Regions from separate parts of the Mus musculus genome. Here regions 1, 2, 3 and 5 are each reported to be linked to region 4. Evidence: microRNA targets listed by miRTarBase, many of them from high-throughput screens and not tested one by one. Region 4 holds a microRNA gene; each other region holds the end of a gene's coding sequence.
Evidence for each region. Region 4 holds the annotated microRNA mmu-miR-1264-3p (CAAAUCUUAUUUGAGCACCUGU, at 2,586-2,607, shown strand). A microRNA usually pairs through its seed, bases 2 to 8, with sites in the 3' UTR of a target mRNA and lowers its output. Matches are read on the target gene's strand: a 7mer-m8 pairs with bases 2 to 8, a 7mer-A1 pairs with bases 2 to 7 and ends in A, and an 8mer does both.

Region 1 (3,856 bases), not on the chromosome of region 4:
GCCTTTTAAGTTCAGTACTGGGAGACAAAGGCAGGCTAGTTCAAGGCTAGCCTGGCCTACACATCTAGTAGGACAGCCAGGGCTACATAATAGAGACCCTGCCTCAAACAAACAAACAAACATACATACATTTGGAGTTGGTAAGAACTCAGAATTGAGTAGGCATGACAGCATGAGGTCTGTGGATACCTTAGAAGCCTGGGCCCAGGTACTCACAGCAGAGCTCAGAGCTCAGTAATGGGAGGCCTTCATGCATCCCTGGGTTTACTGAACTTTCAGAGCTGAGCATGAGGAGGGGGGATGAAAGATGGTGGCCACACCTTAAAGAAAGAAGCTCCGAACACAGATGGAAACTGAGTACACAGGTCAGTGCACTGAAGGAGCAACTGGTCCCATCATCTTACCTTCTCAGCACACAACAAAAACACCCGAGAGAGACTCAGGAACAATGGAACTCAATGTGGTTGAAAAACAAAGCACTAGCTGCTAGACATCTTTACAGCCAAAGTGTCTGAAACTTCTCAGTAAAACTTCTCAGTAAAGGTTCTTCCTGCTAGAGATGGCGCTGGGATTAGTAGCTGTGTGGTTCTCTCCACCTGAGGACTCTCCATTGCTTAAATGACATTTAGGACAGGCACAGGATGACATCTGGACAGATACCACTTTTGCAAAAGTGGGGTCAGGGGAAAGGGAGCAGTAGAAAGTTTTGTGGGTATTAAAAAAAAGGAAAATTCTAAGCTCAGAGTCTCTATTTGCTCTATAGGACATTCCTATCTACTTACTGGTTTGCTATACTAGATGAAGAACAACAGCGAGTGCTCAGCTAGAGAGACACGCTCAGTTAAGACCATGCAATGTTCCTATAGAGGACCAGAGTTTGTCTCCCAGAACCCACACTGGGCAGCTCATAACTTCCTGTAATTCCAACTCCAGGGGACCCAATATTCTCCTCTGGCCTCCCTGGGGCACCTGCACTCATTATGCACATGCTTATAAACATACAGACAATTTAAATACAAATATTTTTAAAAAGCAAATTACAGGGCAGGAGAGTCGAGTTAGCTCAGCAGTTAAGATCACTTTTGCAGAGCATGAGTTCAATTCACAGCAGTCACGTGGCAGCTCACTATCTGTAACTCCAGTTTCTGTAGAGCTGATGGCCTCTTCTGACCTTCACAGGTACCAGGCACACATGTGGTATACAATACACATAAAATAATAGAATAAATAAATGTAAAAATATTCTAAGACAGCAAATTGAAAAGTACACAGGCATCAAGTCTTGGAACATTTTCACCTTAAATGATGAGCAGAGATCAGGAAAGGACAGGAATTAAAGGTCCTCACATTCTATATACATAAATCTATCCTCCTGTTTCATTCTGTTTGCCAACAAGTTGGGGAAAAAATGTAGCAACAATGAGCTGCTCTCATTCATCCTGGATCTGAGCCTGCAACAAGGAGCAATCCTCATAGCCCAGAGGGTCTCTGTGGGTCAATGGCACGGGTCTCCTACACTGGAAGGCTGATGAAGTAAGCTCAGTACGGCCAAAACCACCGAAGACTTGGAACAACAACCAAGTTCTGTGACACCAATGAGAAGAAAATCTAGCATTATTTTCTTAAGCCTTGCTGGCTTCAGAATCAAGTGAATATTTTATATAGTGGTTTATTCTCTAGAGCTATGGGACTTTAATTTTTATAATTTGGTGTAAGAGATAAAATCCAGTGCTCAATGACTTGAGATCTCTTCTGAGTTATGAAGGAATCACACATAGTAAAGACTTTAGGGAACACACACTAAGCATAAAATAGCTAGTGCCTGCGATCTCAGCACTCAGGAGGCTAAGGCAGAAGGTGTGGTATTTAAGGCCCACCTGAACTACAGAATACTTCAAAGACTTCAGGTAATCGATTAGTTATCAGCTTAATCTACCCATGTTCAATGGTCTACAGATTCAACACATCCTGACAAACTCAAAAGAACAAGAGAAAATTAGAGGCTGGAACTACATCAGCATAACCACAAAGGCTGCCACTCACTCCAAGCTAAGGATCTTCGCTGGGGTTTCACTTGGTCCAGCGCCCCTGATCAACCCCACACCTGCCCTGTCCCACATGTCATAACATACATGTCTTGTTTTGTGTGGGAAGGCATGGGCTCCAGAAAAATCAAAGGGTATAAGAGACTCCAAGATGTAAAGACACAAAACAACTCCCCAAAATGCAACAAGATTCCATGGACTGTGACATCAATTCCAAAGCAGTAACTGGTAGGACACAGCCATCCCATTAAGACCCTCTGCTTCTTGATCCCGCAGAACTGGGTGCAGCAGAGAGGAGATGGTTCAGCATATAAGACGGACCCATTCTCTGCAGCGGTCCCTGGGAAGTCCCCCTAATAATAAGAAAGTGGGCTGTTGCAATCATCAGCCATCCATGTGTTCAACTTGGCTGGGGCATGTGCAGCTCACAGCTTTGCCCAGCTGGAAACCTCAGCATGGTCTCACTGTAATGTGGTCTTTTTATAGCTCTCAAGAGGGAGGCCAGGGGCTGTGTCCTCCAGCAGCAAGCTGCAGGCTGCCTTTTCTTGTCCATCTTCATGAGGAACTCCTCCGCTCTGAGAAAACCAGCAGGGCCTCGCCAAGTCCACCAAGCAGGAAGCTGCAAACAGTAGCATATGGTCAACTTTCCTCACCCTGCAGGCTGGCACCTATAAACAACATAGAAGAGTGAGGCGCTCCACCACGACCAGCCCAGGCAAGCCTGGGTCAAGGTATAGCCCAGAAGCCATCACATCACTAAAGGGAAACCATCAGTCACTGGGCGGGAAGTGACGGGTGTGGGCTCCTTAGGGAAGGGCGGGTGTCCCACATATCCTGACCAGGTTAACACTCTGAAGGAAAAAGCACGGGAAGAACGTCCCATGACCCCTTGGGGGCTTCTGGCTAAAGGGAATTGTGGAATATGAAATTGTACAGACGCAACCTTTTAATTAAGAAGGGTGTGGCTTCTAATAGACTAACAGAGCATTTAAAGGTGAGCACAGAAATGGGAGTCATACATTTCCCACTAACACAGAAAGAAATGTGGTGGGCGATTTGAAAATTAAGATGTGAGAACTGCAGCCGGGGAGAAGATATTAGATACTTTAACATTTCTAAAATACAATGCACCCAGAGGCCTTTCCATCCTCTGTTTTAAACTTCTTGGTAGACAGTCTGGTGCCTGTTGTGTTTCTGGGGACTGGGCTGGATCGCTGCTAAGGGTTTATGATGGCAGGTCCCTGTCAGTGAAAGTTTTTTCCAGAAGTGACGACCACCCTTTGGTTAGACTCTCTCTTCCCTTCCTCTGCCCACCCACCTAATACCCCAGTTCTCTTATGCAAACTCAGCACACATACACTCAACATTGGTATCTCTGTCTTTCTAATGCATCTGAGATGCTGAATATATGAAACACCCGTATCACCTTCCCAGTAAAAACCTATATAGAAATGCTGACATTCAGGTGATTTGTACCACTCTGTTCTTTAGTCCAAGAATGAACTAAGTATGAGCATGTGAACGAAATAAACTTAAAATCTGTCAGGAGTTCAGATCTATGCAGCCTTTGTTTCCTTCCTGGAAGTGACCACAAGTCCCAGTGTGTATGAGGCTTACATAGAACATATCTGAAGCCACCTGTGCTTGGCCTATAATGGAGTCCCCACAAATACATGACTATTCCCTAACCAGACGAGCTTCTAGAGAAACATGTCTGCCTCAGTAGCAGTGGGCTGGCTACTCACCCTCTGCCTGAAGGAAACGAAATCACTCACTTTATTTAACTTGCAGCAGGGATGTTGCTGGAATTG
Region 2 (3,000 bases), not on the chromosome of region 4:
TCCTTTCCATTGGGAGGGACACTGGTTTTCACTGCCAGCACACTCACAGCTGTCATTGATTGGCTGCTTTATTTATTTTACTGCAGAAACCAGGTGACTTTGTAAATGTGGTGCAGTTTTTAAGAGGGAGAGTGATGTGTTTGCTTCTTTCCTGTGCAGATCCCGAAATGGAAAATGAAGACCAGCCATCTTCTGAAAATGATTCTCAGAATCAGAGCGCAGAGCAGATGCTCTCGCTTTCTCAGACAGTCGACTTGGCTGATAAGGAGAGCCCTGAACACCCTGCAGATTCTCACTCAGAGGCGTCTCCATCGGACAGTGAAGAGGCTGCTGGCTTTGCCCCCTCTGAACAGATATCTGGGTCCACCGAAAACCACGAGACTACAAGCCTTGATGGTGAATGTACAGACTTAGATAACCAAGTTCAAGAACAATCAGAAACTGAGGAAGATTCCAGTCCTAATGTCAGCTGGGGTACAAAGGCCCAGCCTATAGACTCCATATTAGCAGACTGGAATGAAGACATAGAAGCATTTGAAATGATGGAGAAGGATGAACTATGACTCTCTGGAAAGACTCTGGTGGTAGATATTTAAAAGGAAGAGGTAAACTGTGGTTTGTGACACCCACCCTGTACCAAGCAGGCTCTCCTGGGAGGCTCTGAGCATTGCTCAAGCGCGTTCTGACTGGGGTAAGTAGCCACCATAGGAACCTGGAGCACGCTGTGTTAGAGCTGACCACTGAAACTGCCCCATCCAAAGTGGAGACTCACAAGCCCTCAGATGGCGGTATCCCTGGCCAGGGAAAGATGACTGCCCACTCCTGGGTAGACAAGAAGCAAATTCAGCTAATGGAACCTGGGAACAGAGTCAGTGTCGCTTTCTGATTGAAGAAAGCTTCACTGCCTTGGGCTTGGGGAAGATTTGAGCGAGTATTGTGGCATCTCGGCTTTGCTGCCTTCACAGGAACTCTCTAAGTGACCTACGGGTTCTGAAGCAGATGCATTTACGGCAATGACAGTTTCTGCGCATCGCTGTTACATGCTTCAATCAGTGACAAATGGCCAGGACGACTTGATTTCTTTTCCTCTCCCAACAATGACCTTAGCATTTAACCAAAGCTGAGCCCAGTGTACTTTTCCCATAGGTCTCCGTAAAGACCTACTACGGGGCCATGGAGAGGGTCCGGTAGATAGTGTGGAAATTTGTTGCTTACTGCTCGGGGTAAATAGAGAAGGAGAAACTGTAATGTTGCAATATCAACTTCCCGTTGGGGGAAGCTATGACTACTCTAGATGGAACTCAGCATTAGGTCCTGGTGGGGTAGATTGGAAGTCTTTTCTAGTTCATTTCTCTTAAGGTGGTTCCTCTAACCATCAGCCTTACTCCATCCATTTTAGTATGCAGTTTGAGATGGAAGGCTCGTCTCCAAGCCCTGCTCCATCTCCCTATCTTATAGAGCCATGAGAAACCATGGTAGTAGACTGTAGTCCCGGGGTGACTACTGTCTTTCTCCTTTGAAGCTGGAGTCTGTCACATTTTCTGTTAAATCATGGGTTTAGGTTTGTTTTGTTTTGTTTTAACAAATACTCCTTCCTTCTAATGTGGACTTGAAAATTAGTCTCTGGTGACCTGTGTAAAAACTATATAGCCATATAAGTAAAAGAAAAAGATTTTTTGGGGGTGTGTGTGGCAGTCTGGAGCTGGTCACATTTAATTATTTTTGGTTTTGCTTATTGATACTTCTACATTGAAATCATGGTTTTATTCATTTTATTTATTTTTGAACTTGTTTTAATTGCTTCTAAAGGAATATTTGAGGGACTTCATTCCTTTTTACCATGGCATTACACAGTAACTTTTCTCTACAACGTGGTTTTGAGGTACTGAATGACTTAGGTTATCTATGGAGCCATGAATGACAGCAGTGCTGTGCTGTAGTTGTGTAAGTTCATGTCTTAGGTCCCAGGTAAGCGTGCCCTTTTATAAGGGAATAAATACCTGTTTTCAAAAGGTCCAAATAAATGATTGGTCAGTGAGTGATGAATCTTAGAGAATTCCTTGGGGCCGGGGTAGCATGGCAAGGCCTTCATTAACTCGTAGTTAAACCTGACAGCAAACATGGGTATTTTAGTCTCTCTGCATGGGAAGTTTGGTGTGAGAAGATAGAACCGTAATACATAGAGTATACAGAAGGGGAGATGTGCTTCGTTTTATTTCATTGCAAAGCTGCCAAAATAGCTGACGCTTAATTACTTGACTTGATTTCTAGGACTGGGGCTTGGAGGAAGGGAACAGATGTTCCTTGGCGACTTTGATTACAGAAGCCTTCTATGGATTGATTTTGTATTTGTAGCTCAAAGCCATTGTTGACTAAATCAAACTCTGCTAAGTTATCAAAGCCGCATATTTTTTTCCTTTGAGAACTTAAGGGCATGAAGGGGAGCCCATGGCACATTAGGAAAAGCCAGCGACTGCCACTTACATTCCTTTGGCCACTAGGAGGAGCTGTTGCCCTTCATTAAGGCACCTATTGATTTGTTTAGGAAAACCAAATCCTTTAAAGAAATAAATTTAAGACATTTTACTTACTAACTAGAAGGAATAATACTCAGTTCCCCCTACTTAAGAAAAGAGGAATACGTTCAGCGTCAGAACACAACATTCTAACTGAGTCTCCATCCATTTTTGTATTTGACATACTGCCTGCCACAAAGTAGTCTTTTGAGTTCACTAGGAAATTCCAACAGCATAGATTTTTAAAAAATTTTTTTTTCATTGTTGTTGATGTTTGTTAAAAACCTTTCATAGATATTTTATTTACTTGCTGAAGATTCAGGGACTTCTGAGACCCTGAGTTTAGAAACATCTGGTCTACCTCAGTTAAATGTTGACTGCTTAGAAATAGAGCTGAAATGATCACCACAGCCATAAAATTGTTTGACTAAGAAAGATTTATATAATGTTTACAAACCTGGAATCAAGTGCGGATATTACCTGA
Region 3 (3,888 bases), not on the chromosome of region 4:
GCCAGAATGACCTAAGATATGACAGTGCCCAGGTCACTTTATGTAGTTATTCCCATGAATGACTACATACATGAAATCCCAAGGCAAGTTCATCTACGGAAGACAGAACTCAGAACAGAGATACCTGCTGGCAGAGAGGGATTATTTTTTCGGGGGGGGGGGCGGCATATTTTTGCATAACAATTTCATGTGCGGATAGACAATTGATATAGTTTAGTGTACATTATATATAATGCTATATATACTCAATATTAATATAATGTAAAGAGATCTAATTATATAGGTAAATTTGGGAAGGACTCTACTGGTTTCAAAAATCATTTCCACCTCCCCATTAGGTCTCAGACATATATGAACAAGTAGCATCTTTTTTCCTAGTGTCCAAAGGTGGTATAATGCCTTTTTTTTTTTTTTTTTTTGATTTTTCGAGACAGGGTTTCTCTGTGTAGCCCTGGCTGTCCTGAAACTCACATTGTAGACCAGGCTAGCCTCAAACTCAGAAATCCGCCTGCCTCTGCCTCCCAAGTGCTGGGATTAAAGGCGTGGGCCATCACGCCTGGCCTGTATAATGCCTTTTAAATGAACACTTGCTACAAGACGTTATCATGACACATTCTGCCAAAATCCTGGTGATCCTACACACCTCACAGATAAAGTGTAGCTGTGGGCTGAAAAGATTTGTAAAGAAAGACAAGCATCTTGATATTCTTGAGGGGGGGTGGAAATCCTTGAAATCATGACAAACCAATCTTGCCACAGGCCTTTTCTGTATCCTTCATTCAGCACACGGACACAAGCTGACATCCCAGAAGAAAACCCCAAAATAACTGAGAGATGGTATTGGTGATCAGGGAGAGAGACCTGTGGGTTGGACAGCAGTGAGGAGAGTTGACACAGCCCACTCTGCAGTGACCCAGAGCGTCAGTGTGTGTGTGTGTGTGTGTGGGGGGGGGGGGGCTGGAAGTGTTCTGGGAAAAGGTGGGCCCTGCAGGGTGGAAGCGGCAATACTTCTGTTTTTCTGAGGCCAGAATGAAATGCTCTTCATCAGGAAAACAGGGTCCCCAGGATCAGGATGAGCTAAGGCCCCATTACCAAAAGACAGCCAGTGTGCTGTTACACACTAGCAGTATGCGGGCTATGCCTGATCACCCTGCATCACAAGCCTGAACCAGCTCAACTAGGCCGCGGCAATCCCCCTCTCACCCCTAAACACCACCCCCTGCCATGCCTCTCTCAGGGACCGCTCTAATTCAGCAGTGATTAATTTAAATAAAAAGCCTAACACCAGTATCAGGCAAATATGTTTAATTTTTTAAAATAACTGATGGCAAAATAAAATATTTACATCACATCATACTGTGTAAACATGTACGGTCTCTGTACAAAGAAATATACATGCAAAAAAATAATGTAAAAGTTTTAACTGAAATAATCAAAGAAAACAGTACACAAATAAAAGTTATGAGGTTACAGATACACATCCAGTTTTTGAATCCAATTTCTCTTAAAAAGTTTCTGTACAATTTTACAAGAAACAAACAAACAAAAAAACCCAACAGAAGAATAAATAAATACACCGGAAACTGCAAAGCTTAATTATGCCAGTTTATGGCTCACGACCCAGATGTCTGTCTGGCTTGGGAAGCAAGCTGGTCTCTTTTTTAAGTGTATTTCACACAATAAAGATAAAAAGACATCCAGAAAAATCCAAGCTTGCCAGAAATCCAACTTCTTGTGTTGAAGGACTTCCCACCCCAGCGCCAGCTCCGCCACAGTGACTCGGGCACTGCGTACCAGCCTCAGGGTGGCCAGTACTTAATTGGCTTTCTTACCAAAAGCTTAAAATCCAGCCAATTTTTATACAGAAAGTTGAATGTCAAAAAGTCTAAAAAGTAGTAAATGTTCAGACTGATTCTGGGAAAAAAATAATACTTTGGCATTCTGAATAATAGCATAATAAAATTTAAAACATTACCCTATTATCCAGTTTTATATTCAGAGTATGAAATCACTTTTTACAGTCCTCAAAACTGACAAATTTCACGAAGAGTTAAGTGTCCTTGACGGATGGCACAGGGCTACGACCCACCCCCAACACACACAGAACCATAAAGCTCACTTGCGAAGTATGTGCTTTTTCTATATATTTATTACATGTATAACAGAAGTCTTCATAAATAGTTGCAGAAAATGTTAAAGCCACAACATTGCACATGGTATGAAATAAAAACAACAAAAACCAAAACAAACAAAAAAACCAAAACAAACAAAACCCCAATGAGTGCATTTACAGTATTTTCATCTGACTGTATACCGTTCAACAATCTGATTGACGGTTTGGGGTGGTGGGGCTGGGGAGGGGGCAGTGGGGCTGGACCCAGCCTCAAGTCTCCATTGGATGGACAGACCCCATCAGACCCCCCGAGAGGAAGGCCCAGGCGGTGGGTAGGAGGGGAAGGGGTGGGGGATTGCCAGACAAAAGGCAGGAAGAGTCTTATGTACAAGTAAGGCCTACATTTCATCAGAGCAAAACCATTCATTATATTTTATGCAAAAGATTGAGGTTGAACACACATCTCAGAAGCCAAGTCTGGTGCCCGGCAGGATGTACCCAGACGAGGCAGCTGGAAAAGCTCGGTGCCAGGTGGACACCAAGCACTGGCTGAGCCCATGGGAGTGGCTGCCACCTGGCGAGTCTCTCCCAGAAATGCACAGTTTCTCAGTTCTGTGTAACACCAGTGGTTTGAACATAGGCATGTGTTTTTTTTTTTTTTTGAATAAATCTTGAAAATGTTAAATTTGCAAAATTCTATCCATGTTCATTAAAAAAAGTATCTCTTTTTTATTATTATTATTATTATTTTTGCAGGAACCTGAATAAAATACTGTGATCCAGCAATGCGGTCTCTGCCCATGCAGAGTGTAACTGAAGGTCCTCCACCCCAGCGCACCTTGCAGCTCTGAGCCCAAGCGCTGTTGAGCACAGCTCACTTGGAATGCCATTTCACACGATGAACAGCCGGCGGCCGGCCACTTAGTTTTGGTTTGGTTTCCTCTTCAAAAATTCAAATTAACAGCTGATTGGCAGGTGAAAGAGAATGAGAAAGAACTTCAAGATAGGTCAAACTCTAGGCAGAAGCCTGCTCTGTAAGAAGTTTTTAATGCTACGGATAGGTCGAACATCATTCTGGTGTTTGCGCCGCTCAATGAAGGAGGTCAGTCTGGACGTGTCGAGGACGCCCGTGCCTTTGCCGCTGCCGTTGCCTGCCTGCAGCCACTGTTCCTGCAGGGCCAGTGCAGCCGAGGGACGCTTGGCGGGGTCCTCCTGTAGGAGGAAGCACACGAATTCTTTGGCCTTCTGGCTAACTCCTTGAAAGTAGTCCTCTGGGAAGCTAAAGTCCAGCCGGCAAATATTCAGGCAGGTCTCTTCCACGCTGTCATCCAGGAAGGGGGACACGCCGCTGAGCAGCACGTAGGTGAGCACCCCAACACTCCATGTGTCCGCGGTCAGGGAGACAGGGTTCCCAAGAATGATTTCCGGGGCTGCAAACTCGGGGTTCCCCAGCAACTGGTGGATGTAGTAGGTGGTGTTGAGCTGGACAGCGTCTCCAAAGTCAGCCAGTTTAATGGTTGGCTTGGCCAAACTCTGATCCACCAAGATATTCTCAGGCTAGAATGTAGGAGGAGACACCGTCATTGGCAAACATCCCTAATCCATGCTCAATCTGACCACTGTCAGGATCCTCTGGAGAGGCAGAAGTTAGCCACACAACTGTCACCCAAAGGAAGTTCTTTGGACCAGTGAGGGAACAAGCTGGAGAGGAACAGCCCCCTAGGAGTGGCTCTCAGCTTTAGGGTCCAAATAGCCTAGCTCAACACTGTCTCCTC
Region 4 (3,888 bases):
ATTTAAATATAATCCATAGTTGGTCTTTAGAATGATAGGGACTAAACCAAAATATTTTTCAAACCCAAGTTCATTTTGCAGATCATTTAGCAAGTAAATATTAAGGCTCCTGGTGATGCTATGTTGAACATATTTATAAGATTCAAAAAACAACTCCACCAAACCATCAGTGAAGATTTGTTTACTTGTCTTAGCACACCATTCCATATTTACAACTGTGCAGTATTTAGGGCTCAGCGATAGGACCTCAGGCATTTTCCTTTCCCCAGCCATAGTAATTCACACCCAGTTTGAAGTCACATGCTCTTGATGTTCTCTTTGTAACAGTATTATTTCAGTTGCCTAGATGCTCCTCATTCTTTAAGTCCCAGGTTATGTGTGACTGTTTCATTAATCTCCCATGATACATACACCAGCAACCCTCACTATTTAAACTCTGTCTCTTATTTTACTTGGCTCTGTTGTATTTTTACAGCATTATTCTTCTGCAATTATCTTGTGCATTTGTTCACTTCCTTATTAACTCTCTCCCTGTCCTGCCTATTTATTCTAAATTTGATTGTAGCCAGGACTTTAGTTGTTTCCAGACAACTGCATTGCAAGAAACTTGTTCATTAAAAAAAAAAATAGGTAATTAGTCATCACATAGCTACTCCATAAAGTCTAACATTTAATTCAGGGTCATGGAACTGAAAAATAACATAAAAGTTGTTGGGAACATTTCAGGAAAAAAAAACAGCACAAAAAATATTAAAAAACAAGACCTATGAGGAAAATACGTTGATTCAGGTAAGACCAAGAACCAGTTTTACTTAACTTTTTATAATTGACAGAGATCTTTGACCTATTAAAGTCTTTTATCTTTTGAAAAAAAAATAGCAAATTTAGTTACTGATGTCCCTGTTTAATAGGTATAAACTGAGACCCAGAGATTGAACTAATTTGTACAAATTCAGAGAAATATAACATGTAATCCAGGTTTTCCTTCTTCCTATGTCCAATATTTTTTTTTCTCATAAAACCATCTATCTACAGGATCACTAACCAGAGTAGGGAATTTAGTTTGGATGTAGTGAACAATGACCTTTTCTATTTGAGTTTATAAATTTTTATGTTATCTCAGGAGGTTCTCAAATATCAACCTTTATTTGTGGTAGCTATTTGTTTTCTTTATATGGTTTGAAAGAGTATGTAGTGCAATGGTAGAGGGTGACAGATTGCTAATCTATTGGTTCTTCAATTTCCAATATTCCATAATTCTTTGGTTAAGTTTTCCACTTTGCCAACTAATATTTCAAATATACTTAATATTTTTTAACTTAACAAGCTGATGACCCCTTAACAACTATTGAACTACATATCACAAGCATATTAGTCTCTAGGATGTGCTCATTGCATGGGCTGTGTAGATTTTTATTTAATACACAGAACATGCAGTGAGAACTTGATAGAGATTGGAAGACATCCAGAAGAATAAACCACGAATTCTTATAGGATAACTTTGTATTTGGTACAGATTAATTAACTAACCATCCATTTAAAGGTTTTTACTAATCCTGTCTCCAAACACCACAACCTAGATTCAAAAACACACTACTTGAACTTCCATATTGATTCTATTTTTATTTGTTACTTGATATTCTTCTTTACATAGATTGTTAAAATTTCACACAGAGTCAAAGTTAGCTTTTTAGTAGAATTATAAACAATAATTCAGATGCTAGAGAAATGGCTTAGCAGTTAGGAGTACTTGTTGCTCTGGCAGAGGACCAAGGTTCAATTCCCAGCACCCAAAATTTGGTTTACAAGTGTTTTTTAACTCCACCTTCAGTGAATCTAACACCCTCTGATGGCCTCCTTGGGCACTGCATGCATGTGGTGCACTTATATACGCAGGCAAAGCATTCACATGCATCAAAGTAAAAGAAAGACAATTTCCTCAAATATCCCATTGATTCAACAACATAAAACTTTTGTTTCAAATATATTATGACCATGTGTCAAAAATTACATTGATGACACATTAGATGCAGATGTTTTACATTATTAATGGGATATTAATAAATATGTCACCTGATGCTCACCTCATTCTTACATTTGAAACTTATTATTGAAAATATTCTGAATAGATATATGTCATTCATTTTAAATAGAAGACTTTTCTAGAGTAGTAGAATGATTTAGCTTGATTTGAAAGCATAGCAATCCTTGCACATTTAATACTTATAATTAAAACGTACTTGTTCTTGTTTTGGCATCTCCTTGTTTATGTAAGGAAGCAAAGCCAAACTAAATATGTATTAAAAAGTCTAATTGAAGAGCCAGAATAAAACACATTATAGGTCAGAAACACAACAGCTCTATATTTAGATACAACTAAGAACAAAGTAGAGATAAAAGGAGGTTTATAAAGAAAATGATTTAGTAATTACTTTTTAGAAATATTGAAACTTCTATGTCATATTGAAAAATATGGTCGAACTTTTTAAAGACAATGTCAGGATACATAGAACACGTTATATTTCTTCATGCCTGGCATATAGCAGGTCCTCAATAAGTATTTGTTGAAAAAATAAATGAAGCAACAAATCTTATTTGAGCACCTGTTATGTGGAGGATAAAAAACTACAAACCAAACAGAGCTTGTGATCTTATATGGGAGAGAATGAATATAAGGTAAATGTACAAATGACTATCATTTTTGAAACTGTAATAATATCAAATACATCTTTTAAAAAGATCACAGATGCGCAGTTCATGTCCCATTATCAAAGAATTTAGAGACTTGAACCTGGGACTTATATGAAGTATGGGAGCAAAAGCATTTCTTGTAGAAATTTAAGTATTTATAAAAAGGAATACTAAATCAGTAATCTTACAAGGGTCAATAAATTAAAATAGAACTTCCTGGATCACCATAAAACCTTTTCATAACCATTTTTCTTAATGTCTTCAGCATATTACATTAACATAGTATGAAATAATGTGAGTTCCTTAAAGGCTTTGTGCCTCTTAGTTCTTTTTTACTTACATGTATTATCTATCATTTATAATAAAACTTATCCAAAAGGTTTTTATCCATTATTTATAGTAAATCGTATCCAGAATGTTTTTAAGTACCTTGTCCATCATTTTACTACTTTTCAGGTTTAATTTCTAGCCAGTTACTTGAAAGTAATTTGAATATGAAAATAGCATTTGTTGTTTCTAATTTTAAAATTCCACTGGAGATAGGACAATAGATAATGTATTTTAACCGAACACCTTTCCTGAGAAGATCAAGGAATAAAATGTTTTACATTTGAATTGCTCCTATGACATCTTTGTAAGGTATAGCTGTTATTGTTGATTTTATCGGACTAGAGGTATACATTAGGAAAAACAAATTGGTTAGTCTACTTTATGAATGATGTAAAGACCACTTTGAATATAAACTAGTATTGTTATCAATTTTCATGAAGGATGCCCTCAATCTCTTTTTCTATTTATTTGTTGATTTTTCTACTGAGAGTTTTGCTGTTGGTTTGGTTGGTTGATTGAGATTGTTTGTAACAAGATACCCAATAGCCTAGTCTGGTCTTAAACTGACTATGAAGCAGAAGATGACCCAGAAATTCTGGTCCTCCTGCTTAAAGGTATGCACCACAATATCTGGCTCCACAACAGTCTCATTTATGAGACAGGAACTAGATATACCTGCCCTTCTCTTCATTTTCCTCCTTTAATTTCTCCTCGCTTTTTCCTTTCATTTTCATTCTATGTACAAAAATTATGCAGATGTTATTCACTGTTCTGTATTCAATTACTTATACATACATGGGCTTGAGTGGTAATCCATATAGATAAAATGTTTGATGAATGATTTAGTAATCATCTGTTTTAGAAATA
Region 5 (3,888 bases), not on the chromosome of region 4:
GAGTTTGAGGGTAGACTAGAAGAGGAGACGCCCTGTCAAGAAGTAGGGGAGGGGATGGTGGCCAGGGCCAGCAAGATGATTCAGTGGTCAAGGCAGTTGCTGCCAACCCTGACAACCTGAAGTTCATTCCTGGGACTTACATGGGAAAATGAGAAGATCGACTCCTCCAAGTTGGCACAGGGAGCTGGGATTTGACCCAGAGATGCCCTGGGCTCAGGGGCCGTCCTCTCATTCCTGCCTTCTCTCTTTCCACAGTCCACACTGGGCTTCGTGGCCCTGATACTCAGCACAATGCACACACTCACCTACGGCTGGACCCGTGCCTTTGAGGAAAACCACTACAAGTTCTACCTGCCGCCCACATTCACACTCACGCTGCTCCTGCCCTGTGTGATCATCCTGGCCAAGGGCCTCTTCCTCCTGCCCTGCCTCAACCGCAGACTCACCAAGATACGCAGGGGCTGGGAGAAAGATGGGGCTGTCAAGTTCATGCTGCCCGGCGACCACACACAGGGGGAGAAAACAAGCCACGTGTGAGGCCCTGGAAGTGGAGATGGCTTGTGGGGGCCCTGAGCTGGGTTCGGGTCTCTTTTCTGGATGCTGCACAGCGAGGTGATGATATATGCGTGGGTGGCTGAGATCCTAATTCCTGGGATGCAGGTGTAAACTGACATACTCAGAATGACACCCCATACATGTGATATGTACTTACATATATTTCACATATAATAAGATTTGCTATTATTCTTACTTAGCTAAAAAAAAAAAGTGGGTCCCTATATTTCAGCGTAAGCATTTCAAAGCAAATGCCACACATTGAACAGCAGATCCCACCCTTGTGGTATCTACAGAGGCAGACAGACACTCTGGTATAGGAGAAACTGTCTTTCGTTGGATTCTCTCCTTTAATCTCTATGCTCCTTATTAGCTGAATCCTAAAGTTGGTGCAAAGCTGGGGCAAGAAATGCCTCTGGTGCCGCCTACCCCCATCCCAGGGCTAAGAAAGAAGCCTCGAGTGAACAGGGAACCAGGTCTGGACTCTGCTGCTTCCCTGGGCGTGCGTGGGGAGGCTCAGCAAGACCCCCTGGGATCTATGCAGGAGCTTTTTCAGGTCCGTCCTTTCTTCAGGGAAGGGTCTGAAGCTGCCCCATCTGATCCTAGCTGAGCTGAGAAGATTCTTCCCCACCCCCTGAAAGTCCAGAGTCACCACCGGAGCCTGCAAATTGATCCTTCTGCGAAGGTGTGAAGTCACCGCCTCTCCAGAGCCATTAATGAACCTGGTCTTCGGGAGGAGGATAATTGTTTCCTCTCCATTAAGTTGCTGGTGACCCCCCCTTTAAATCACTGTGCCTTCTCGCCTTTTCCATCATTAATTTGGACATCTCCGTGGAGTGGACACTTGTCTGGGCAGTCCGGGGTGGGGGGGAGCATTAGAGATTGCAGAGAATAACCATCGAATCCTCTTCTTGGGGCAACCCTCCCCTTGGATGTGCCCCAGGCCTGCCTTCATTAAATTGGTCCCTGAGGAGAATAATAGGGACCCTTTTCATTTACCCTGTCGCCTGTAGGCAGAAAACCTACCTTCTGAGCACCCAGAAAACACAGTGGCCCCATGCTCTTCTTCAGGGGGTTCCACAGCCCCCTTCCCCGTGTTTTTGCCTCCCTCCCTCCTTCCTCCCCTCCCTCCCTCCCTCACTGTTACGTTCAACCACAAAAGTCTTCAAATATTGTTTTTTTGAATTCTTAAAGAGACCTCATTTTATTACAATAGTTAAAATTGTCCTTTGTTTATTATTCTTATTAAGCTTTCCTGGGCCTGGTTTATTAATTAGACTTAATCACAGGCGTGTATAGGAGAAATGTAACATATGCTTGTGTGTGTGTGTGTGTGTGTGTGCTCGCACACGTGCGCACACTCCCACATGTGTTTTGATTATCTACAGTCTCAGGAATCCTGAGACTGCTTTATAATTCAAAACAACTGGGAGTGGCTTTTCTGCCAAAGCTACAAGTGTCAAGCTTTACTGCCCCAAACACAGAGGGCCAGACCATTGTCAGGGCATGGCGCATCTATCCTCCCAGCCCTGTGACGTCCATCTATGAGGAAAGAGTTAGGAAAGAGCCAGTCCCCTAAATCCTGCGGAGCTTGAGTGATCTATCATTCCATAAGAGAGATCCTGTTGACTCCCCTGGGCCAGGAAGCATCTTTTGACACAGGGAAGGAAGACGTACTTGGCCAAAGTACCCAGGATGAGATGTCCTTCTTCCCACCAGGGAGGGTGTCACAAGGGTCCTTAAGTGAAAAGGGGACAAGAGCCCAGTGCAAAACCCTTTTGTTATTGGGCAGAGGTGTCACACTGGAGAGTCTGGCTGCTTCTTGAAAGTATGACAGCCAATATTTCATGCTAGAAACAGGGCCTACGACCTGAACTGGTGCCAGCTATGGCCCACAGAGAGGACCACTGGAGGCAAAGCAGAGATCCCAGCATAACAGGGACCAATGAATTCCCTGCTGACTGCAAGCAGGAAGAACATTGAAAATCACAAGTAGTCCCAGCTGGTGGGGATCTACTGCCTTCTCCATCTTTCTCTGGAGGGAGACAGTTCCTTGCAGCAAAGGTACCCACTGTAGCAGAGATACCCACTGTAGCAGGGGTACCCACTGTAGCAGAGGTACCCACTGTAGCAGGGGTACCCACTGTAGCAGAGGTACCCACTGTAGCAAGGGTACCCACTGTAGCAGAGGTGCCCACTGTAGCAGAGGTGCCCACTTTAGCAAGGATACCCACGGTGGGAACAAGACAAGTTCCTTTCCTTGCCTTGTTGCTGTCACAGCTGCTTATCAGATGGGCAGTGGGTACTTGTCAATCAGCTCATAGGTGGCAGGTGATCTTGCATCTGTCCCTGTTTCTCCCCATCTCCCCGGGCAGTCAGCAGCTTCAAGGAGACTGGTCACTCTAAGCCTGGTAAAGTCCCAGAGTACCCCAGCCCAGTGATCTAGAGATGAAATGCCACAGCCTGCAGTGGACTTGCAAAGTCTCTCTATGGTGGACACAGTTCCTGTCTCATCTCTCAGAATCGACAGCACAGAGCCATGTGAACGCCAGGCTTTCCTTTCTGGCAACAGGACCACACGGGCAATGGTTCCTTTGTGCCTGGAGCCTGTGCTCACTCGGCCATACATTAGATGATAGGGATGCCAAGGTGAACATTAATCTGCACCAGAGGTGGCCACTGAGGAATGGCAGGTGTGCAGAGGAATGACAAGCCAATGATGGAGCGGGCAAGGTCCCCACAACACAGTCTGGGTTGTAAAACACAAGGTGCCTGAGGAATGGTAGTCAGAGTTGTCTGCCACCCTGCACACACATATACGAAAAACTGCATATTTCCTGGGAAGCATATAAAGTGTTGGGTGTTGGTCTCAAAAAGTTCTACAATTTCAGATAGTTTATCTCTGCTGAGTTACATCTCCAACGGTTGCAGAGAGCTTCTGCTCCGCACACAGTGGAAACTTGGATACCCTGGCCATTCCAACCTCCCCTCGGACACAGTGGACATGTGAAGCTTCCCTCCCCTCCCATGAGGTGAATAACGAGGCCCTGCTTACCAAGCGCTGGTTTTGTTTACTGGACTAGAAACCTGGCTTGTTTCTGCAAGTTCCCGTTGTAAGCAGAGACTGGTTTTCAAAACACTTAGTCAATCGCGAAATATGTCCCACCCATCAGACTTCTACTTCCAAAGGATCTATCCTGCTAAATCCAGTCTCTGGACTGAAAATATACTTTTTATTTGTTTGATCTTTTTTATTTCATTATGTATGGGTGTGGTGTGGTGGCGCATGCATGTGCGTGCGTGTGTGTGTGTGTGTGTGTGTGTGATTGTGTG

Region 1: miRTarBase lists Tmem241 as a target of mmu-miR-1264-3p. Seed matches in the 3' UTR shown: 7mer-A1 at 1,360-1,366.
Region 2: the mRNA of Edem3 is a reported target of mmu-miR-1264-3p. Seed matches in the 3' UTR shown: 7mer-m8 at 919-925, 7mer-m8 at 1,669-1,675 and 8mer at 2,950-2,957.
Region 3: miRTarBase lists Trio as a target of mmu-miR-1264-3p. Seed matches in the 3' UTR shown: 8mer at 2,779-2,786.
Region 5: miRTarBase lists Steap3 as a target of mmu-miR-1264-3p. Seed matches in the 3' UTR shown: 7mer-m8 at 731-737.

Annotation. Positions count from the first base shown.
Region 1 is chr18:11,980,930-11,984,785 of GRCm38, forward strand. Tmem241 (transmembrane protein 241) reads right to left here. Exons shown (of 15, transcript NM_001289666.1): 15 at 374-2,664. The coding sequence ends at 2,601. Among named protein-coding and RNA genes, the nearest start is that of Gm41666, 34 kb to the left of the region's middle.
Region 2 is chr1:151,818,151-151,821,150 of GRCm38, forward strand. It overlaps Edem3 (ER degradation enhancer, mannosidase alpha-like 3), which reads left to right. Exons shown (of 20, transcript NM_001039644.2): 20 at 160-3,000. The coding sequence ends at 563. Among named protein-coding and RNA genes, the nearest start is that of Edem3, 64 kb to the left of the region's middle.
Region 3 is chr15:27,729,361-27,733,248 of GRCm38, forward strand. It overlaps Trio (triple functional domain (PTPRF interacting)), which reads right to left. Exons shown (of 57, transcript NM_001081302.1): 57 at 1,289-3,670. The coding sequence ends at 3,122. Among named protein-coding and RNA genes, the nearest start is that of Otulinl, 50 kb to the left of the region's middle.
Region 4 is chrX:147,008,070-147,011,957 of GRCm38, forward strand. It overlaps Mir1264 (microRNA 1264), which reads left to right and starts at 2,532; the gene lies at 2,532-2,617. All of the region lies in intron 2 of Htr2c (5-hydroxytryptamine (serotonin) receptor 2C), which reads left to right. It overlaps Mir1912 (microRNA 1912), which reads left to right and starts at 1,372; the gene lies at 1,372-1,458.
Region 5 is chr1:120,224,296-120,228,183 of GRCm38, reverse strand. Steap3 (STEAP family member 3) reads left to right here. Exons shown (of 5, transcript NM_001379355.1): 5 at 256-1,770. The coding sequence ends at 537. Among named protein-coding and RNA genes, the nearest start is that of Steap3, 33 kb to the left of the region's middle.